Schizosaccharomyces pombe: one gene and its partners. Changing the gene in region 1 together with any one later gene gives a genetic interaction. Each region holds a gene or a part of one and is shown on either strand. Other genes may lie near its edges. The genes, in order: myo51, scs22, rlc1 and cdc8.

Evidence for each region.
Region 2: of myo51 (region 1) and scs22, changing one enhances a phenotype caused by changing the other (phenotypic enhancement), as found in Schizosaccharomyces pombe (one study listed by BioGRID).
Region 3: mutations in myo51 (region 1) and rlc1 impair growth when combined (synthetic growth defect), as found in Schizosaccharomyces pombe (one study listed by BioGRID).
Region 4: of myo51 (region 1) and cdc8, changing one enhances a phenotype caused by changing the other (phenotypic enhancement), as found in Schizosaccharomyces pombe (one study listed by BioGRID).

The regions. Positions count from the first base shown.
Region 1 is NC_003423.3:2,989,620-2,996,571, forward strand, and holds myo51 (myosin type V), read right to left. Parts: upstream 5,296-6,952; 5' UTR 5,196-5,295; coding exon 5,167-5,195; intron 5,112-5,166; coding exon 1,191-5,111; exon of another isoform or gene 1,152-1,190; coding exon 686-1,151; 3' UTR 569-685; downstream 1-568. Other genes in the region: telomerase regulator Est1, read left to right, coding at 1-568; peptidyl-tRNA hydrolase Pth1, read right to left, coding at 5,705-5,878, 5,915-5,960, 6,000-6,304, 6,352-6,447; protein mhf1, read left to right, coding at 6,833-6,844, 6,890-6,952. UniProt on the Schizosaccharomyces pombe protein: Involved in cytokinesis.
Region 2 is NC_003424.3:4,477,428-4,481,750, forward strand, and holds scs22 (VAMP/synaptobrevin-associated protein family protein), read right to left. Parts: upstream 2,525-4,323; 5' UTR 2,485-2,524; coding exon 2,295-2,484; exon of another isoform or gene 2,123-2,294; intron 2,066-2,122; coding exon 1,950-2,065; intron 1,869-1,949; coding exon 1,215-1,868; 3' UTR 1,212-1,214; downstream 1-1,211. Other genes in the region: nuclear proteasome tethering factor Cut8, read left to right, coding at 423-1,211; SPOM_SPAC17C9.11C (zf-C2H2 type zinc finger protein/UBA domain protein), read left to right, coding at 3,478-3,585, 3,731-4,307. UniProt on the Schizosaccharomyces pombe protein: Vesicle-associated membrane protein-associated protein (VAP) implicated in maintaining the cortical endoplasmic reticulum (ER)-plasma membrane (PM) attachment.
Region 3 is NC_003424.3:3,885,238-3,889,031, forward strand, and holds rlc1 (myosin II regulatory light chain Rlc1), read left to right. Parts: upstream 1-2,024; 5' UTR 2,025-2,332; coding exon 2,333-2,887; 3' UTR 2,888-3,260; downstream 3,261-3,794. Other genes in the region: SPOM_SPAC926.02 (uncharacterized protein), read left to right, coding at 1-794; protein Ina22, read right to left, coding at 860-1,033; Hsp90 chaperone, read right to left, coding at 3,537-3,794.
Region 4 is NC_003424.3:4,318,689-4,322,235, forward strand, and holds cdc8 (tropomyosin), read right to left. Parts: upstream 1,548-3,547; 5' UTR 1,517-1,547; coding exon 1,499-1,516; exon of another isoform or gene 1,485-1,498; intron 1,440-1,484; coding exon 972-1,439; 3' UTR 559-971; downstream 1-558. Other genes in the region: ubiquitin hydrolase Uch1, read right to left, coding at 2,119-2,787; protein Nuf2, read right to left, coding at 3,194-3,547. UniProt on the Schizosaccharomyces pombe protein: Forms part of the F-actin contractile ring during cytokinesis.

The DNA of each region.
Region 1 (6,952 bases):
TTTGGAGAATTCATTATTACAGTCGAACATCAGAAATGTAGGATATGAAAAAAAAAATCTTTACTACATATCATCTGCCTTTTCAAATCTTTTACACTGTCGTTATTTCAACTGTAACGATCGTCTGAGAAGTTTCTATTACCGATTTTCTTCTTGGTTATTTCATCAAACGCTTGCTTGTGCTAAAGAAGTTGAATCAGAGCGTGCTCCAACGTCTTACTTAACTTCCTGTTTACCAAGTATTAAGGTGATACTAGCAAGGGTGCTTGAAAGTTCTCCAGCTTTTGGATTCATTGAGCGGAACGAATTAGAACAATTGAGTTATCATTTCAGAATTTGTGAAAAGTTTTTTAAAGAATCTTCAGAAAATAAAATGTTAAACCTTTTTGAGGACTACAATGAATTCGGATTATGCAAATCTTTCATTTGTTTATTTAAAAGATTGAACGAAGACATTATAGGGCCAAAGTTAAATATAAACCCACCCGACTATACTACTCATCCATTTTCGGAATCGATCAAACGATTTTATCAAATATCCAAAATACTAAATTTATTGCTTTCCTGAAGTTACTATATGATGCTTTGAATTAACAGAGAATGATAAGAATATAGTATTAATGAGTACTAATATAAATTAAAAATATTGATCGGGTGTAACGTTTAATGATACTTGATAAAAAGCTTATAATGTAGCTTTAGCCAATAAGTTTATCAACTCTGAAAGTCGAAGCTCTTCGTATATATGATTATTTTCAAGTGATAATAAAGGGTTTTTAGAAGCAGCTATAGGAATAGCGTGCCCATTAGTGTTTGTGATTTTACCATTTGTAAAACCAGATTGCTTATACTTACAAGATAATGCCTCTACGGCTTTTGAAAAGGATTTTGGTAGAGGATTTTCACCAGCGCATGGCTGATACCTATTTAGGAGGCATACAACTTCAAATGGCGAAAGTAAATTACAAACAGAGAGAATAACATCCAAATCGTTTGCATCGTTTTTACGAAGGCAAAATACCAAAGGAGACTGCATTAAAGGCAATAGTGACGAGTTAACATAACTAATACCCTTTTGATGACACCAGTTAATCAACAGCGAGGCATTATAGGAAACCTGAGAAGCAGATTTCCAAGTGTACGGTGACCGGCTAGAATGTTAGTGATAGTTTTTTTGATAGCTGCCTTACCCATGAATTAATGTTTGAAAGGCACGTTGTCCTATATGTTGAAGCATGTGAGATATAGTCAATTCCAATAAATTTGGTTGCAAGGCAGAAGATATTAATAATTTGTGTATTAAATTCATTCTGTCTATCAACTCATAAATATTCATTCCAGTAGGTGTTGTGTTCTCATCAGCCGCATCGATAAACTCTGGTAAACATTTTGAATTTAAAAGAGCATTAATCGATCCCTCGGTACAACAACTTAATAGTTTCTGGACCAAGGAATGAAATGAATTTTCCAGATTAGAAAAATGTTTTGAGAATTTCAAAATCAACGGATTCCATAAATCCTCTACCACACTTTGCTTTCCATGTGAATTAATAGATAAAAGATGCACTAAAAATGAACGAATTTTGTGTAACGTTGCGAACCAATACAAAACCGCTTGTAGAGGTTTTTCATAGAAATCTAGAGTTTTATCATTTTCAATAACTGTACCGTCAACGATTTTAGTGAAATAGGAACACAATTGGCTCAAAAACTCACTGATTTGTGTCTTCAAATCAAGGCTAATACCTGCAAAAATTAGAAAGTTTACTACCCCAGCAAAAAGTAGTGAGTTCTGATCCGTTTCTAACAACCTCATAACACCATCTTTGTAACCAACTGCATTAAACAAAGAAGAAACCGTGAGAGCTTGCTTAATTTGCTTTAAAAAAACAACCCTTTTCTCATACAATAAATCTTTAGTTTGTTTATTAACAACTTCATTAGGTAAGAGAGATGCATTTTCAACACCAACTAATTCAAGAAGCTGTTTGAGTTTTTTGTGGATGGAGAAGTATCTATCCATTGCGTAAAAAAGAACACGGGAAGGTAGTTGTTCAGTATCATATTCAAATTTTTCAGAAACTGTCATCTGTAAAGCTTGGTAATAATTCGACAAGTTCTCTCGGGCAGTTTGAGATTGAACAAATCCCAACTCCGATTTTTTGGCTGCCATATAAAGTTGCTGAGATGCTTGCCGAAGCTTTGATTCGGCTTGCAAAAGTTGCACAAGCTGTTCATCGTTGCTAGTAAAATCCATACTAACGGGTTCAGAAAAGTCACTGGGCTTCTTAATTAAACACTTCCATTTCGATAGTGAGTTATTTAAAATATTAAGCTTATTCCTTAAAACTGTTACTTTTTTGCTATTTGATTTCAACTGTTTGGATACTTCGGTTATAGAAGCCTGCAGGTTCTTTTGCTTCTCATAAAGAATGCTAGTCCTGCCCGCCGAATCTTGTAATCTGCGAAGATATCTTCTGGTTAATACAGAGCGCGACACACATTGCAGAGCAATAACTGACTTCTTCAAACCTCTAAAAGTTTTTCTTGCGTTGTACGCTCGCCAAAATTTTGCAAGAAGTGTAGCAGAACTTTCCCTTAACTCATTTATATAACGAGAATATGCGATATTCTTCCGAACTATTGATTGAATAACAATAGCACATTTGATAAGGGACAAATATCTTTTGCGTTGGATATAAGATCGCCAATGAGCTTGAATAAGAATGGCTGCTCGTTCAATTTTTTCTCGCTCAAAACGTTGACGAGTTAACCAGCCCATAATAACCGATTGTAGTTTAATGATAAATTTTACAGTTCTTTGATACTCCTTCCGAGTAAAGAAGCCTCTTATAGCAGACTGTAATAAAACTGTCGATTTGCTACATGTAGCTCGATGGGCTTCTTCAAAATTTCCAATAACGTTTGATCTGAAAAATATTTTGGAGCGACCAACTTGAAAGTTTAGGTTATCATGAGGAATTACAGAGTTAACAATATTAAGAGTCAACTTTTTATTATCTTCCTCCCATTCTTTAGAAGACAACAAAATGCGGAATCGATGAGCAAATTCCTCATACGAAAATCGAGCAGGAAACCCTAACGAGGATATCCTAATTGTTTCAAAAACACCGCAGGCCCTGAGTTGTGAGAGCACCATCGGCGGGGAGAACGTCCAAGGAAGCTTTTCTTCATTAGGCTTAATGCATCGAATGTAATGAACATTAGTAGAGGAAACAGTTGTCATTAATTGAGACAAAGAAGATTTAAACATTGATGAAAGTGTAGGTTTCCTGCTTATAGCAGTCTTTCTAGGATTTTTATTTTGAGAAGAAACCAACTGCATATAAAAGTCTAGCAGATAAGTTATAAACTCATTTTTTGAGTTTTGTAGTAAACTTATAAACTCATCAGGTATGGCATCCGAATTTTTTGCTAAAAAATCGTGTACTTGATAACTAACGTCCAAAGCATAATGTTTAACCATAAATGAACCATCATTAAATCTAGATTTTTTATAGAACTGAGAGTGTTTTGTAGGAAGTTGATTATTTAATTTTTGTAAAAACGATTGGTGGTTCCCTGAAGGTAAGCGACATTCCTCATCCAACAACGAGAGTATCCCTAATTTGTCTTCGATTAAGGATATGCAACCTTGATTGTCAGAATATTCTATAAGTCGCCAGTCTAATCCTTCTTTAACATATTCTTCCTGTTCTAGTTTAAAAACGTGCTTATTAAATTCTTGTTGAAGTTTTTCATTAGCATAATTAATACAGAATTGCTCCATCGAATTTTTTTCGAAATGTTCGAAGCCATAAATATCAACAACACCAATATATTTGTAGGCAGCTCTTTTAACTTTGTTATGGTCAAGTGATGCATTAATCATGTGAACAATCCACAAAAACAGTGCGGAATATAAATATTTAGCGACAGAGTCTCTTATGCTAATAGCATGTTCCAAAGTTGATGAGGTAATAATGGTTTCGGATCTAGTTTTCAGTTGTCTTTTAACAATCCATTTAGCAAGCGTAGATGAATCGACACCAAGTAATAAAGCAGCTTTCTGAAGATACCCATCACCGGGCTGTATTTGTGCTTCATTTCTTGTTGCACAGACTTCAATGTTACCAAGGTGGAGTAAGGCAGCAAGTAGACAAAATACATCCTCCTGCCTTGACTCTGAAATACCAATAGTTGAAAGAGCTCTGCAAGTTATAGTAAAGTCATTACTGTCGTCAACGCCAGATATTTCATCACAATTTCCTTGTGATAAATAATTAAAAGAAGACGCAGACTCAAGAAACCATTTATCCCTTTGTTCCTCTGTACATCCAGTAATTAGCTGATAAAAAATGTGATAATTTCTTTCCCCTTTAAGTAAAGAGACTACTCGGGATCTTTCAAGTAAATATGTGTTTACATTTGCTCCGGTAATCAACAAGTTTTCATCAAAGCTTATGGTAACATATTTACCAAAACGTGAAGAGTTATCATTTCTGATAGTTTTTGCGTTACCAAATGCTTCCATAATAGGATTAGTAGCGAGAACTTGATTCTCAACAGAGCGTTTAACAACACCATTATGATCTACTCCCTGTACCGAGGTCAAGTAACGCATAATATACTTAGCAGCAACTGTTTTGCCTGCACCTGATTCTCCAGACACAATAATAGTCTGATTCTTGGAATCTGTAGTTAAAGCATGGTAACAAGAACTTGCTATAGAGTATAGGTGAGGAACTTTGGCTGCTTCGGGATCTTTATGGAAATGTTTTATCAGATTGTCGTTGTAAAACTCGGGAAGATTTTGGTAAGGGTTTATTGAGACAAGCACGATTCCCGAATATGTGTAAATTTGCTTGTTATTGTAACGATTATGTAAGGCATGAAGGACAGATGGCTCATTTAAATAAGGAAGATTCGTTAAATCAGAAGGCGACTCTGATTGACCGATGTTTCGATTTTGTAACTGTTGGTAATTCACTGTTTCTAAAACACCGCTGCTCTTTGCAACAGTTGCTACGACTTTACCTCCTCCATTATCTTTTATTTCGATTAATCGAGCAGCATCCCAATGACCGTTATTATTGGAAACCCAACATTCCCTAATTTGTAACGATTGTTAATAGAAGGGTGTTTACTTTTTGAGAATTTACTTACGAGCCTACCGATAATCTTGCATGACTCATAGCAATTTTTAATTACTTTCTTTTGAAAATAAAATATCTTCTGTGGTATAAAAGGAAAACTATATCAAAAGAAGGAATAAAGTTATAAATCGGGTAACTTGAGTTTCGATGTGCTATGTACACAAATAAATATTTACGAGCAAACACGCTAGAGCGTATCGCTACGCCAAACTTCCCAACGCCTAATTTCTTTAATTCGAAAGCAAAACAAAGAAAATTGGTATTTTAGGGTTTTGAATTTTTATTGCTTTAAGCGGGTCTTTTAAATTAGTCTTTTAATCTCTGTTTGTTCTCATGAATTGTTGTATCTTAGATTTATTTATCTATCAATTTTATATAGCAATAAAAAAGGTATTGATCTTTTAATCCAATATTGCCTTGAAAATATGATGGACTGTGGGTTTTGATAATTTATTTAAACGGAATGAACAATGTAGCTTCATAGTTCTTATAATCAACAATCAATTTTACAAGGAACAACCCGCAATGAGTTAAGCTTAACTTAGTCCCTATGTTTCAATTGAAAGTTGTAATTGTTGAAGAATGTTGCAAAACTTATGGAATATATCAGTTTCAATTAGTTTCATTTCATTAGAGTTGAATTTACTCAAAACATAATCTGAAACGTCCTCCCTATTCCTTGACTCACAACGTCCAATTCCCAATCCAATCCTGTAAAAACTCTTTGAATTAGTAATGAAATTAAATGTGTACCTTACTTCTTTTCCTAGGAATTCTTGACAAGAGCGAATCCCATTGTGTCCCCTAGCAATGTTAATAAGTATTGCTTTGGATATTACTTACCTGTGAGAGCCTCCGGGCAAACGAAGCTTGACTTTGCCTAAATCTAACTCCAATTCGTCATGCACAACTACATATACGATTTTGTCTAATGGCGAAACTTTGCGCACAAAATCATTAGATATCTTTTTCAACTGTTTCCCGGAATCATTCATGTATGAGGTGGACAAAACCAAGGTGAGATTTTCTTTGGTACTAGGCCAATTTTTTGGAAATGCCATGCTGTCAGCGTACATACTCACCATTAATTTCCCCAGTGAGTGTCTCGATTTGACGAACGCTGATCCTGGATTTCCTAAACCATAGATCTTTCGGATTAGTATCCCATTTTGGAAAGACTTTTACGGATCATAACAATTTTTATAGAAACTCTTCTTTTAAGGTCGCAATGGTTAACTTCTGCTTTGTTTTTCCTGGCAATTAAAATCTTAGGAAGATGTTTTATTGCCATACGGAACTTTGGTACTTATTTTAAAAAAAATTTTTTTTGATTGAAAAAAAGCTTTAGCATCCTCAACAGAATTTTCAACTTACCAAGAATTGTGTTTGCACCATGGACTTTTTTCTGAGAAAATTTTTATTTAGGCACAAGGTTTTATTAAGATTAATAAATACTTTCCAACTGATTGGTTTTGGCCTACTCTTTGGTATTTAGCACGGTTAGCTCCCCACGAAAATAATATTTTAGTTTAGATTAATAAAACAATGTTTCAAACTACGAAGAAACTTGGAAACCACCTATTTCATGTTTTAGCCATTTAATTATAAGGAGACTACTTATCTTAACTTTTAGTAACGTATTATTACGAAAATTAATAAAAAGTAATCAAAGTTATATGATGGAGGAGGTAATAATGCATTTTAATATAGGTATTGGCTAACTGGTATTCTAGGAGAGATTCAAAGCAGAGATTTTTCACGTTACACAAGAAGTTTGTAATCGTACAGCTTCTGAA
Region 2 (4,323 bases), on another chromosome or scaffold:
TTTGGTAACGTCTCATGAGAAGAAAACTCTTGAGCCACTAAATTGTTCTTACCATTTTCCATTATCTTTTTTAAGAAATCGAGGTTCTAATTGAGCTGGTATTGCGGGCAATAGAGCTTCTTGTAATATAGAAATTATAATCGACGGTTTTATTTCATTTGGGCTGAGAAAAAAATTAAATTGCTAGCTTTCATAAGTCGATACACTGAGCAATAGCCATCCTTCCGGCTTTTAAAAAAGGAAGCTCATTAACAAAGTATCCTCTATCTTTGTTTTATTGTTACTACTTTTGAAATTTTTTCCTCTTTCTTTTGGAATATCCATTTCTTTGTAATTTTCATTTTCTTTGTTATAATTAATCAGACGATTTCACGTTTGAAGTTGGTATCTTTATTTGTTGTTACTGTTCATTTCCTTAATTCATGGAGACCTTATCTTATTCTCAGATTAAGAAACGCAAAGCTGATTTTGACGAAGACATTTCTAAGCGTGCTCGTCAACTACCTGTGGGTGAGCAACTGCCATTGTCGAGACTGCTACAATATTCAGACAAACAACAGCTTTTTACAATTTTATTACAATGTGTAGAAAAGCATCCTGATCTCGCACGTGATATACGGGGCATATTACCGGCGCCGTCCATGGATACTTGTGTTGAAACGTTGCGTAAACTTTTAATTAACTTGAATGACTCATTTCCCTATGGTGGTGACAAGAGGGGTGATTACGCATTTAATAGAATTCGTGAAAAGTACATGGCTGTCTTACATGCGCTTAATGATATGGTTCCTTGTTATTTACCTCCATACTCTACTTGTTTTGAGAAAAATATTACTTTTCTTGATGCCGCTACAAACGTTGTCCACGAACTGCCAGAATTCCATAATCCCAACCATAATGTTTATAAAAGTCAAGCGTACTATGAATTAACGGGCGCGTGGCTTGTTGTTTTAAGACAACTTGAGGATCGGCCTGTAGTCCCTTTACTACCTTTGGAAGAGTTGGAAGAGCACAATAAAACATCACAAAACAGAATGGAAGAGGCATTAAATTACCTTAAGCAATTACAAAAAAATGAGCCACTTGTACATGAAAGAAGTCATACTTTTCAACAAACAAATCCACAAAACAATTTTCATCGTCATACTAATAGTATGAACATTGGGAATGACAATGGAATGGGTTGGCACAGTATGCATCAATATATTTAAAAACTAGAACAGAAGGCCTATAAGGAAACATATAATGGCTAATAGGAAAGCGGTTTGCACAGTAACTGTGTTATGAATTTGAGGAACAACCTTGGCACCACTAGTCGGACGCCCAAAAGACGATGAAACGCGTGCAAGTCCTATTTGATTTCCACTGTTTCCAGCGAACATAGATGGACTCGTAGCTGTTGATTGTCTTGTGTTATTAATTACATTAGCGGTAGATCTTAATGCATTATTTTCATTGTTAGGAGAAGTGGTAGTAGGCACTGACTGAGGCTTTGGGTAAGGTTCATTTTCAGCGACTGTTGCAGTAGGAGCTTTTACGGCAGTAGATGGGGCTTCATGGGGCTTCTGGTGAGAAACTGCAGATGTTTTAGGAAGCTGGGTATGCTGTGTAGTAGCTGTAGATGGAGCAGCTACGGGATTTGCATGGGTCGAAGGAAGTGCCGTTCCGTCTATTCCTTTAGAGTAAGATTGATTAACATTACCATTTACTGTGGTATAATTGTCAGTGGCAGAAGTAGGAATAGATGTAGTCGTTGTTTGAGCTGGTTGATGGTGAGCATTAGCATGAGCATTTGCAGTACTGGGGCCTTCACTATAAACACATCGAATTTTTCGTTCCGATATATTAGCCTTGCTGACTTGAGTCCACTATTAAAGTATTGGTTAGAACATCAATTATGTATGGCATGTATTAAAAAAGTAAATGTAAGTATATCTTTTATCACATACAATATCTGCTATATCCATTCCCTGTAATTCTGGCTTCAATTCAGTGCTCTGGACCAAAAATTTATCGCGGCATTTTGTGCCAGGAGCCGGTTCGTGATCTAGAGGCTGTAGGATAACTATTAAAAAAAAAGAAGTTAGTAAATGAAAATTTACAGCAATAACTAATGAGCACAAATTATCTTCCAGTGCACGCACAAAAACAATAAAAACTGTTAGTTTGCAAAAGAAAATCACGTTGATGACAACGTTTTTGTTCCACCCGACAACATCAATGATGGGAACCGCTTAAACGAATAAAATCAAAAAATGCAAATGAGGTTCAAAATTAAATATAAATTATCTTACCTTCAACACTTACAGCCGAATTGGCTTCAATTCGACCACCGTTGGGTCTCACACAGTACTGTTTAGGAGCAGTAGTTTTCACTTTGAATCCGATCGGATAAGGTGCAGTATTGCGAAGTTCTAAATCACATTTTACTAGTCGTGTAAGTGGTCGAGGAAACACAATTGTACTATCACATTCAAGAGCCATGATTTACGGGAAAGGCGAGTTTGTTGCGAGAGGTGGTACTACTTTACTCTGCGAAGTACCATTTCGCAGTGTAGCCAAAAATCGTGGCTTTACGTCACACATACTTGTGTGTGATTTTCCGAGGCTGAGCAAAGATTATGGTAATATATGGATACTGAAATAAAAGGAGATAATTATTCAAGTAACTGTTTTCATCGATATTATACAAAGCCTTATAACGATATTATTAAAATAAATGTGATATTTTGAAAGTAAAAAGTAATATATGCTAAAAAATATTTTGCAGTAGGTGAATAATGTACGAATGCAGTATGGTTATAAAATCCCAATAAGTATATGGATTTATTGTTTGTGAAATTAATAAATGATATAAATACCCAAAAAGGATGATTCAAGTTATCCTTTTTAATTTCTAAATGTCATGTTAATGCGTTTGAATTGTCTTAATTACAACTTAAGAATGCAAGGATGAAGTAAACATTATGATTTCAAAAAAAAATTGCGCATTCGTTTACACTTTCTATTCAAAGGAAATACGTTTTTTGGTTTAGACAATCATTAAATAGATATTGTATACTTTCGTTAATGGTCATTATGCTAGGGAAAAATCAACATTTTTATTTCAAGGAATATCAGCGATGCTTTAGAAAGCATACCATGTATAAAGGAAACGAATTACTCGAGTGGATGCCAACTACAGGATCACGAAAGTCAGTAATCATTTTCAATCATCGGTCTGCGGATGTCGTGCAATATATACAATCATTTATTCTTCTAATTCATAGCGTAATCGGTGGTAACTACAATTATTTTGTTTCATTTGACCTGTCATTTCTATTTCAATGACCAACAAATTTATAATGCTCTCAACTGCGATGTTTGGTAATACGATATTGTAGATATTAGCACGTTAGATGTTGAGTCGATGGAACGTAGGGCTATTTTTGAGCGTCATTGTAATTTGCCTTTTGCAACTACAAACTCTACACAAAAATGGTTTTGAAATGTTTGGAATGCGATAAATTGCTTTCCTCCATCGAAATGGCTGAATTTCATAGTACCAAAACCAGTCATGATCAATTTGAGGAAACTGAAGAAGAGGTATGTATAGATTTTACTCCTTTTACTTTTTGCTGAATGGTTGAAGCGTTCGAATTGTTAACCATCCTTATTATTATAATTCACGAAAACAATAATTTGTTTCACTCGATCCTTTCTTTTTATTAACAACGATTATAAAACATAGATTAAGAAGCGTTCTCCCGAAGAGTTAAAACAAGCTATTGAAGCTTTAAGAGAGAAAGCAAAGGAGAAAAAGGAAAAAGAAAGGATTTTGGCTCTGGAAGAGAAGAAGACAAATTATAAAATCCTTCAAAAATCCAATGATGAAACTGCACAGGCTATGAGAAAGATGCAGGATCAAGCCCGCTTACGTGACTTGCAAAAGATCCGTCAACAAAAGGCTGAAGATGCTGAGCAGCGTAAGAAAATCCTCGCAGAAATTGAACGCGATAAAAAACGACGAGCTGCAGAACGGGAAAATAAGAATTCTTCTGTAAAAGAAACGGCTGCTCCCATCAAGCAGCCTAAAAATGCCAATTCGTCTTCTACTTGTACTCGCACCCCTCCTACATCAGGCAGATTTTCTATCCGACACGATGGTCAAGTTTGTAATATAACTATTGCAGCTGAGGAGACGCTACGCCAATTGGCACAACAGGTCGCTGAGAAAATGAACGTGTCACCGCCAACTAAGTTTACCACTACCTTTCCCCGTGCCTCATACGGCACTGATGTATTTGATAAACCGGTTAACCAACTTGGTAAGTATCAAACTAG
Region 3 (3,794 bases), on another chromosome or scaffold:
AAGAAATACCTGACATACAGGCTCGACGATTATACTTTATAGAAGCAGACAAAGAGGCATCGACATTAGTTACCGAAATTGCTTCTTTAGCATGCAGTTGCAAGTTACTTGAAGAATCAGATTTTGAGAAACTCTGTCAGATAATGCTACCGATTACGGAAAAACTCGATATATTAAAGCTAATGGACTGGTACTTGGCGAAAACCAAACGTTTAGTACTTGGTGGTAAAGAAAATGAGGTGGCATGGATTGATTTACTGCAAGTTTTTGACCATCAACTTAGCCAATTACCACAGCTAAACTTGCAAAACCCGTTGGATCCGAACTCGTCTGTTAAACCTTTGCATATTCAATTGCTGTGCGACAAAGCCGATGCATACATAGACTTTGCAGAGACGCTACTAGATTCCTGCGTATCTACAGAAGAAAGCGCATCTATTGAAATAATGACTAGAGCCTGGAATATGTTAGGAGTAGCTGCCAAAAGTTTAAAGATGGCTAACACTTACAATCCTAATCATGTAAGAATACTCATTTCTAGAGCTGACTTAGAGATTCAACGTGCAGCTATCCCCATCATGGTAGCTCAAAACTCCAAACTTGTGTTGTATAAAAATGCCAAAGTATTATACGAAAAAGCATTCCGTGATTATTCAACCAAAAAGACAACAAGAACGTTTGCGGAGATTGTCTTAAAGCATTATCAACTACAGAAATTGACCAACCCAGAAACGATTAAGATGCTGGACTCCTTAACTGAGGTTGCTCAAGAAGACATTCTCAATACCATTTAAAGAAACAGACGTTTCTTACTTAATTTGGCAGGCTAATTAGTGAATCCAATTATAAATATAAAGTTTTACTTTGTTTCATTACTTGTATCATCAAATTCATGTTTCGCTAGCCGAATTTTTGCATCGTATTGTTTCATACGCTCCAAATGATCTTGCTTCAGAGCATTCAGATGAAATGCTTCGCTACCGATGATGAGCCATAATAGCCCGAACGTATACGTTGATGACCAACGTAACATGGAAAAAATTGACTTTTAACTAAAAAAAACTGTTTCTAATATCTTTGGTGTGCAAGTTCAGACTCAGTATTTGGAGTAGCTGCTGTAATTAATCGATATAATATAAATCACAAATGATTGAGCCTTTTAAAGGCGTTGAACACTTAAGAATCAAAACTCCAAAATACCGAAAGACAAAGAGAAAAAGAAAATCAATATTTTTCGCTCGAAATAAGGATTACCATTAAGACAAGTTTTGACTGTACGGAACTGTGTAGGATAACGGTAAATCAATTTTCTGCAATGCTTTGATATTTATTGACTTTCATTAAATCTCTGTAAATCAGAATTTCTATTGTCTATCTAGTTTTGTCCATTAAATCAGAAATTATTCAGTTTCTATTATTGTTACTTTTTATTTATAATAAGGATTTGTTTAATTCAACCGAATAATGCTAGTTGGTTCTTAAAGTCATACTCCTTATTTCCTTCATTCCCAGCCTACTCAGTCTTTGCCCGCAAAAAGATATTTCAAGGCCTATTTGATTTAACTCATTTATTCAAATTTCACTTTTTGTTAACTGAGTTTTACTTTTGTTCAACCTTGACAGCTCAGCGAAATTAGTGTAAATAAATAAAATCAAAAGAAGCGCTAATTCAAGAGGCCTTTTTGATTCTACTTTTTACTGTGTATACAACTTATAAATGACATTATATCCTTGACAAATTTGCTTACGTTTGTTTCAACTTTTATTAACCCCTCGAAATTAAATTATTATTATGCTCATGGCATTGTTGATCAAACATTGAGATTTGATTAAGCATATAAAATAATAATCATAAGAAATAAAACACTATGATAAATATAATTCTTCTAAATGTATACTAAAAAAAAAAATCCTTGAGAGTTCGCCTTTTCTCTAATTTTAACGGCACCAAACGTGGGTCATTAAAGACTAACATCTCCTTTGTTCTCAGTATTCCATGCCTATGTTAAATTCTGAGACTTACCAAGAGCTTGAATATCAACAATCATAGGTTACTTCCTATATGTCTATTTATAGATTTTTTTACAACTAATTGTCAGATACATTTACTTAGAGAATTCTTAGCTTTCCCTTTTGAATATTTCAAGTCTTAGCATTTAGTGACTGATTTAGACTCCTTTTTTATGACTTGCTGATATCCTCGCCTTACGGTGTATAAAATTCATATTTACCGCTATTGCAGTAAGGGCAGCAGTTTTTTTCATTTCTTAATTCTTCCGTACTTTACTTTACAGCATAACTATATCTTATTTGATCATTTGCTCTGTTAACGATGTTCTCTTCGAAGGAAAATTCCTTAGGTGCTAAACGTGCCCCATTTTCATCAAATACAACATCTTCTCAAAGAGTTGCTGCCCAAGCCGCTAAACGAGCATCTTCTGGTGCATTTGCGCAACTTACTTCTTCCCAAATTCAAGAACTTAAAGAGGCTTTTGCCCTATTAGACAAAGATGGTGACGGTAATATTGGAAGAGAGGATGTCAAAACCATGCTTACTTCTTTGAATCAGGATGCCTCCGAAGATTCAATCAATCACATGTTTGAGTCAATAAATCCGCCTATTAATTTAGCCGCTTTTCTCACTGCGATGGGTAGTATGCTGTGTCGAATCTCCCCCAGAAATGATCTACTAGAAGCGTTCTCTACATTCGATGATACTCAATCCGGCAAAATTCCAATTTCCACTATGAGAGATGCTTTGTCAAGTATGGGTGATAGAATGGATCCTCAAGAAGTCGAGTCTATTTTACGCTCGTACACCAGTCATGGTGTATTCTATTACGAGAAATTCGTTGATGCTATTGCTGGGTCAAAAGATAGCAATTGAGTTAAGAGCAGCCAGATATGTTTCACATTCTTCCCTCTAATACTTTATCTTTTTAACCTGAGCCATTTCCCTTAGACGAATTTTCCTCTTCTCTTTTAACTTTTTATGAAAGCATTTGATACATTTATGTTCGTTGTGACCTATACTTTATGTGTCTCAATACTTAGCTACTCTCTGCGACTTTACTATTATTTGCAGTGTTTAGTGAGTTAGAGCTTAGGCTTAATGTCATTAACCATATTTTCATTCGAGGGTTCAATTAATGTATGAATAAATCTATATTAGCCCAGCATACCTATGTTCCTCATCAAAATTATCCTACCTTGTAAAACAGCTCTCACATGACTAGAAAAAAATAACTTTTAAGCACCAACTTGTACTTGTTAGTAGTATAAACTACATTATTCGAAAACAAAATTTGATGTACTAATAAGTATCCATAAACTTTAATATTACTAATCAACATTCCATATTATAACAACTTCCAAACAACCTGTAATCTAGTGTGTATTAAGAAAAATCGTGTAGAAAGAAATTTTTGAATGACAACAGACACTAGAATCGTTAACAATGTATAGGATAACTTGCTTTAATCCAAGAAAAACATTATATGCATAAATTTTGGAAAGACACATTAGATGCATTTGATTTAATCGACTTCCTCCATCTTGCTCTCAGCATTGTTTTCAGCAGCGACGGATTCGGTAGAAATTTCCTCAATAGGAGCCTCCTCCTCTTCGTCAATGCTAAGACCAAGAGAAATAAGACGGTTGATACGTTGAGCATAAGCACTAGGGTCATCAAGAGTGAAACCAGAGGACAACAAGGCGGTCTCATACAAAATAGTAGCAAGATCCTTCACAGAGCGGTCTTCGGCACCATTCTCCTCAACCTTCTTCTTGAGCTC
Region 4 (3,547 bases), on another chromosome or scaffold:
TTGCTCTTTGGTAGTTGACAAGCCGACGGTAAGTCTACATTAACCAAAGTAGCACATTAACGCAAACCCTGTACCTCGTTATTCCGATAAAGGTTTATGTAAATTTATATCAAGTAGAACATGTAAATGGCAATACATGTCAATACATTAAGATATTCTTTTTATTTACGTTAACATCTTATGTTTTTAGTTGATTCAACTTTGATTATGCTTACGATGCCTAACAATGCTCTTCAACGTGTACGGATATCGGATTTCCAAAAAAAAAATAATAAAATAAAATAAAAGGCAATTTAACAAATAGGTAAATTCATAGAAAATGTGAGTTTAACAGGTATTGTGATTCTGCAAAATAGATTGATTTTAAAAAACCCGCGCTGAAGATGAATGTCATTCATACAATAAAGTAAGACAAACCTAACTATAATGATCCCCTAACAAAAGCACGACCACTCGTTTGCACGAATTACTTTAAGGTAGACGTGTATAAACAACTTACAAAATACCGATTTCAGCCTAGCAAACTTCAATATTTACATCGTAAAAAAAAGGAAAGATAAAGACGGTATTTATCATATAGAAGTCTTTATTAAAGAGTTGGCATTCGAAAAAAAATAAAAGCTTATCATTCAGATAACATTAAGACAGTTATGCTTACAAAATGTTATTTAAGTTAGAAGGGAAAGTGGTGGGAATCGGGAAGATAAGGGCACATTTCTTCTCAATTTACAATACTCAGACATTTGATATCATAAATACTGATTCTCGTAAAAAGGTAACACCAGTAAGTTGACTAAAGAAAGAAAACAGTGTTCCATACCAAAATCAAATCATTTTTCGCTAAATATAAACCATAAAAAGTGAGGTCGAACTTAGCTAGTTGACAAAGTAAGAAAGAAAAAGAATGACAGCAAATAGAAGATATAAAAAAGGTGGTATGTTTCTTCTATGTTCGTCAAGCTTTTCGCTATCTACAAATCCTCAAGAGCTTGGTGAACTTCATCTAATTCAGCCTTGACCTTAGTATACTTGTCAGTCATTTCTTCTAGTTTCTGTTCCATATCATCACGCTCACGCTCTAGAGATTGGACGCGACGTTCAAAATGCTCAGCCTTAACATCAGTTTGACGCATCTTTTCGGTGGTTTCGCGAAGTAGCTTGTCATTAGTTTCTAGTTCTTCCTCTAAAAGCTCAACTTTACGGCTCAACTGCTCGGCTTCCGTCTTTTGAATATCTTCATTGTCGGCTTTGAGACGTAACTGCTTAGTTTCTTCTTCTAACTCTTCGAGTTGAGACTCGGCGGCTTCGCTTTTCCTCGAAAGAGACTCATATTCTTGCTCTTTAAGAGAAAGTTGAAGTTCAACTTCTTTCAACTTGGCTTCAGCTGCTTCAGCACGAGCGACAGCCTCATCAGTCTCAGCACGAGCGGCATTAATTTTCTAAATAAAAAGCAAATATTAGCAACTTGATTTTCCAATGAAAAGCTATCATCTCATACCTCTCTAAGCTTATCCATTTTCCTACTGTTTCCTTCTTTCCTTGATGGTGGAGGGAAGATACCGATGGGTGTGTTTGACATGCATATACCACGGTAAGGGTGGTGAATTAATTGACGGTACAAGAAAGTTCTATTTACTAATTTATTACAAAGAAATACACACAAGCTCTACAGTAAAGCGCTTTGTTCATCAAAGAACAAAGAAGTTGAGGCTTTGCTTACAACACACCAGATTGTTAATTTCATCAAAGAAATAAGCGTTAAAAGAGCAAAGTTAAAAACAGTAGTCAAACATTTGTAAATTATAATCGAAGTGTTCCTGCAATAGATTTTCAAGTTTGGAATGAAGTGATTTAAACAATGCCTGATTTTTGTATTTATGACTGAAATTTTAAGAGCTCTCTACTGCTAAAGAAAAATGGCATATATCAATAATATTTAATCATTTAGTTATACAATTATAAAGAGGTCCGCTTGTTAATTTCATATTTACACACATACAGACTAGGAATTAGTTGGAAACAGGTATTTAAGAAGCAATATTTTAAATGGCTATTATCATACTTCCAATTGCCAAAGTAATCATTTCATTAAGTTTCACAACATTTAGCTTACATAGGTTACGGAGTCGTAATTGCGACAAGAGAAAAGAAAGGAGAATCAATACTCTGAATATAATTTTTAATAACTGAAAGTACTTCGGCATTCAGTAAATCACTTTCAATTTCAGAATGTTGCACGGGCCCCTCTTGGCGGCCGTCTAGCTCATAAAAATGATTGTCGTCCTTTGATTTTCCCTTTACAAAACAGATAAAATGAAGATCAGTTTCTACATCTTCCTCAGACCCCTCTACTTCCAAAGGTGGACCAGCAAATGCTGCATGTAAAGCTTCAAGTTCTTTCGAATCCTCGATAAGCTTAGCCCTTTCTTCGATAGATGAACCTTCAGCAGTTCTGATTAGACTTTTAATAAAATCATTTTCATTGACTTTTCTTCTAAGTTCTCCATTCGAAACCGCATGTAGCAATCCAATCGTTCCGCAAGCATTTGGAATTGTTTGAGGGTACCACAAGACTTTGTCACTATCCTTTGGTAAAATTCGTGATCCTTTATATATAGTTTTTGTTCCTGAGGATGGAAAAACGAATAAAAGAGCATGGACAGGACGAGGGATATATTCGGGGATTTCCTCTAATGAAAACAGGTCAAAAACGCTAGCATCTTGTACACCGATTTTTTGTAAGTAAGGTTCCAGCACCTCTGGTGTATTTTCTAAAGGCCTCCACATTGTAATTTTTCTCGAATGATAAATGGCTCTAATTGAGGCTTTTTTGATCAGGTTTGGAAGGCGTGGCAGAGGTCTCAGAAGTCAGCAAAGAGGCAAAACACCAAAGTTTGACAAAGTTAATCGAATATCTTTAGATTGCCAATTTTGGGAATCTACAAAAAAGCTTTACTATAATCAGTATCCTATACTTCAATATCCTGTCACGTTCAGCTATGAAGATGACTGTAAAAATAGGGATTGTTCCATAGGTATATTATAAATAGAGTCATAAAATATTAATAATTACCAAGATTTACCTATATACATTTACTGTAAAATCTAAAATTCTGGCTTCGAAGTCCAACCAACGTTCTTATAGGTAGTGTTGAAATATTTGCACGAATAAAGATTTTTCAAAATGAAGATACTAAGAGTTAGAAGACCTTAAGTTTCTGAGAAGTTCAGCAATATAAAGCTCCACGTGCGATTTCAATTTTTCGAATTCCATAGTTATAGAGGATATTTGAGACTCCAGTTCTTCTCGCATTCCAGCAATTTTTTGTTCGGTCATCTCTATCATGGCATTTTTCTTTTCAGTCTCCTGAATCTTTTTATTCCTTTCTTGGGTAATTACTTTGTATTCTTCCCGTATGTTGTCCATTCGTTGTTTGGCAGCCTCAAGTTTTTGATTTCGAGAATGTTGTTCATGCTCGAGTTTTTCTTGAGCATTAGATAATTGCTTTAAAAGTTGTTCTTTTCTGAACTCAAGTTTTTTTTTGTT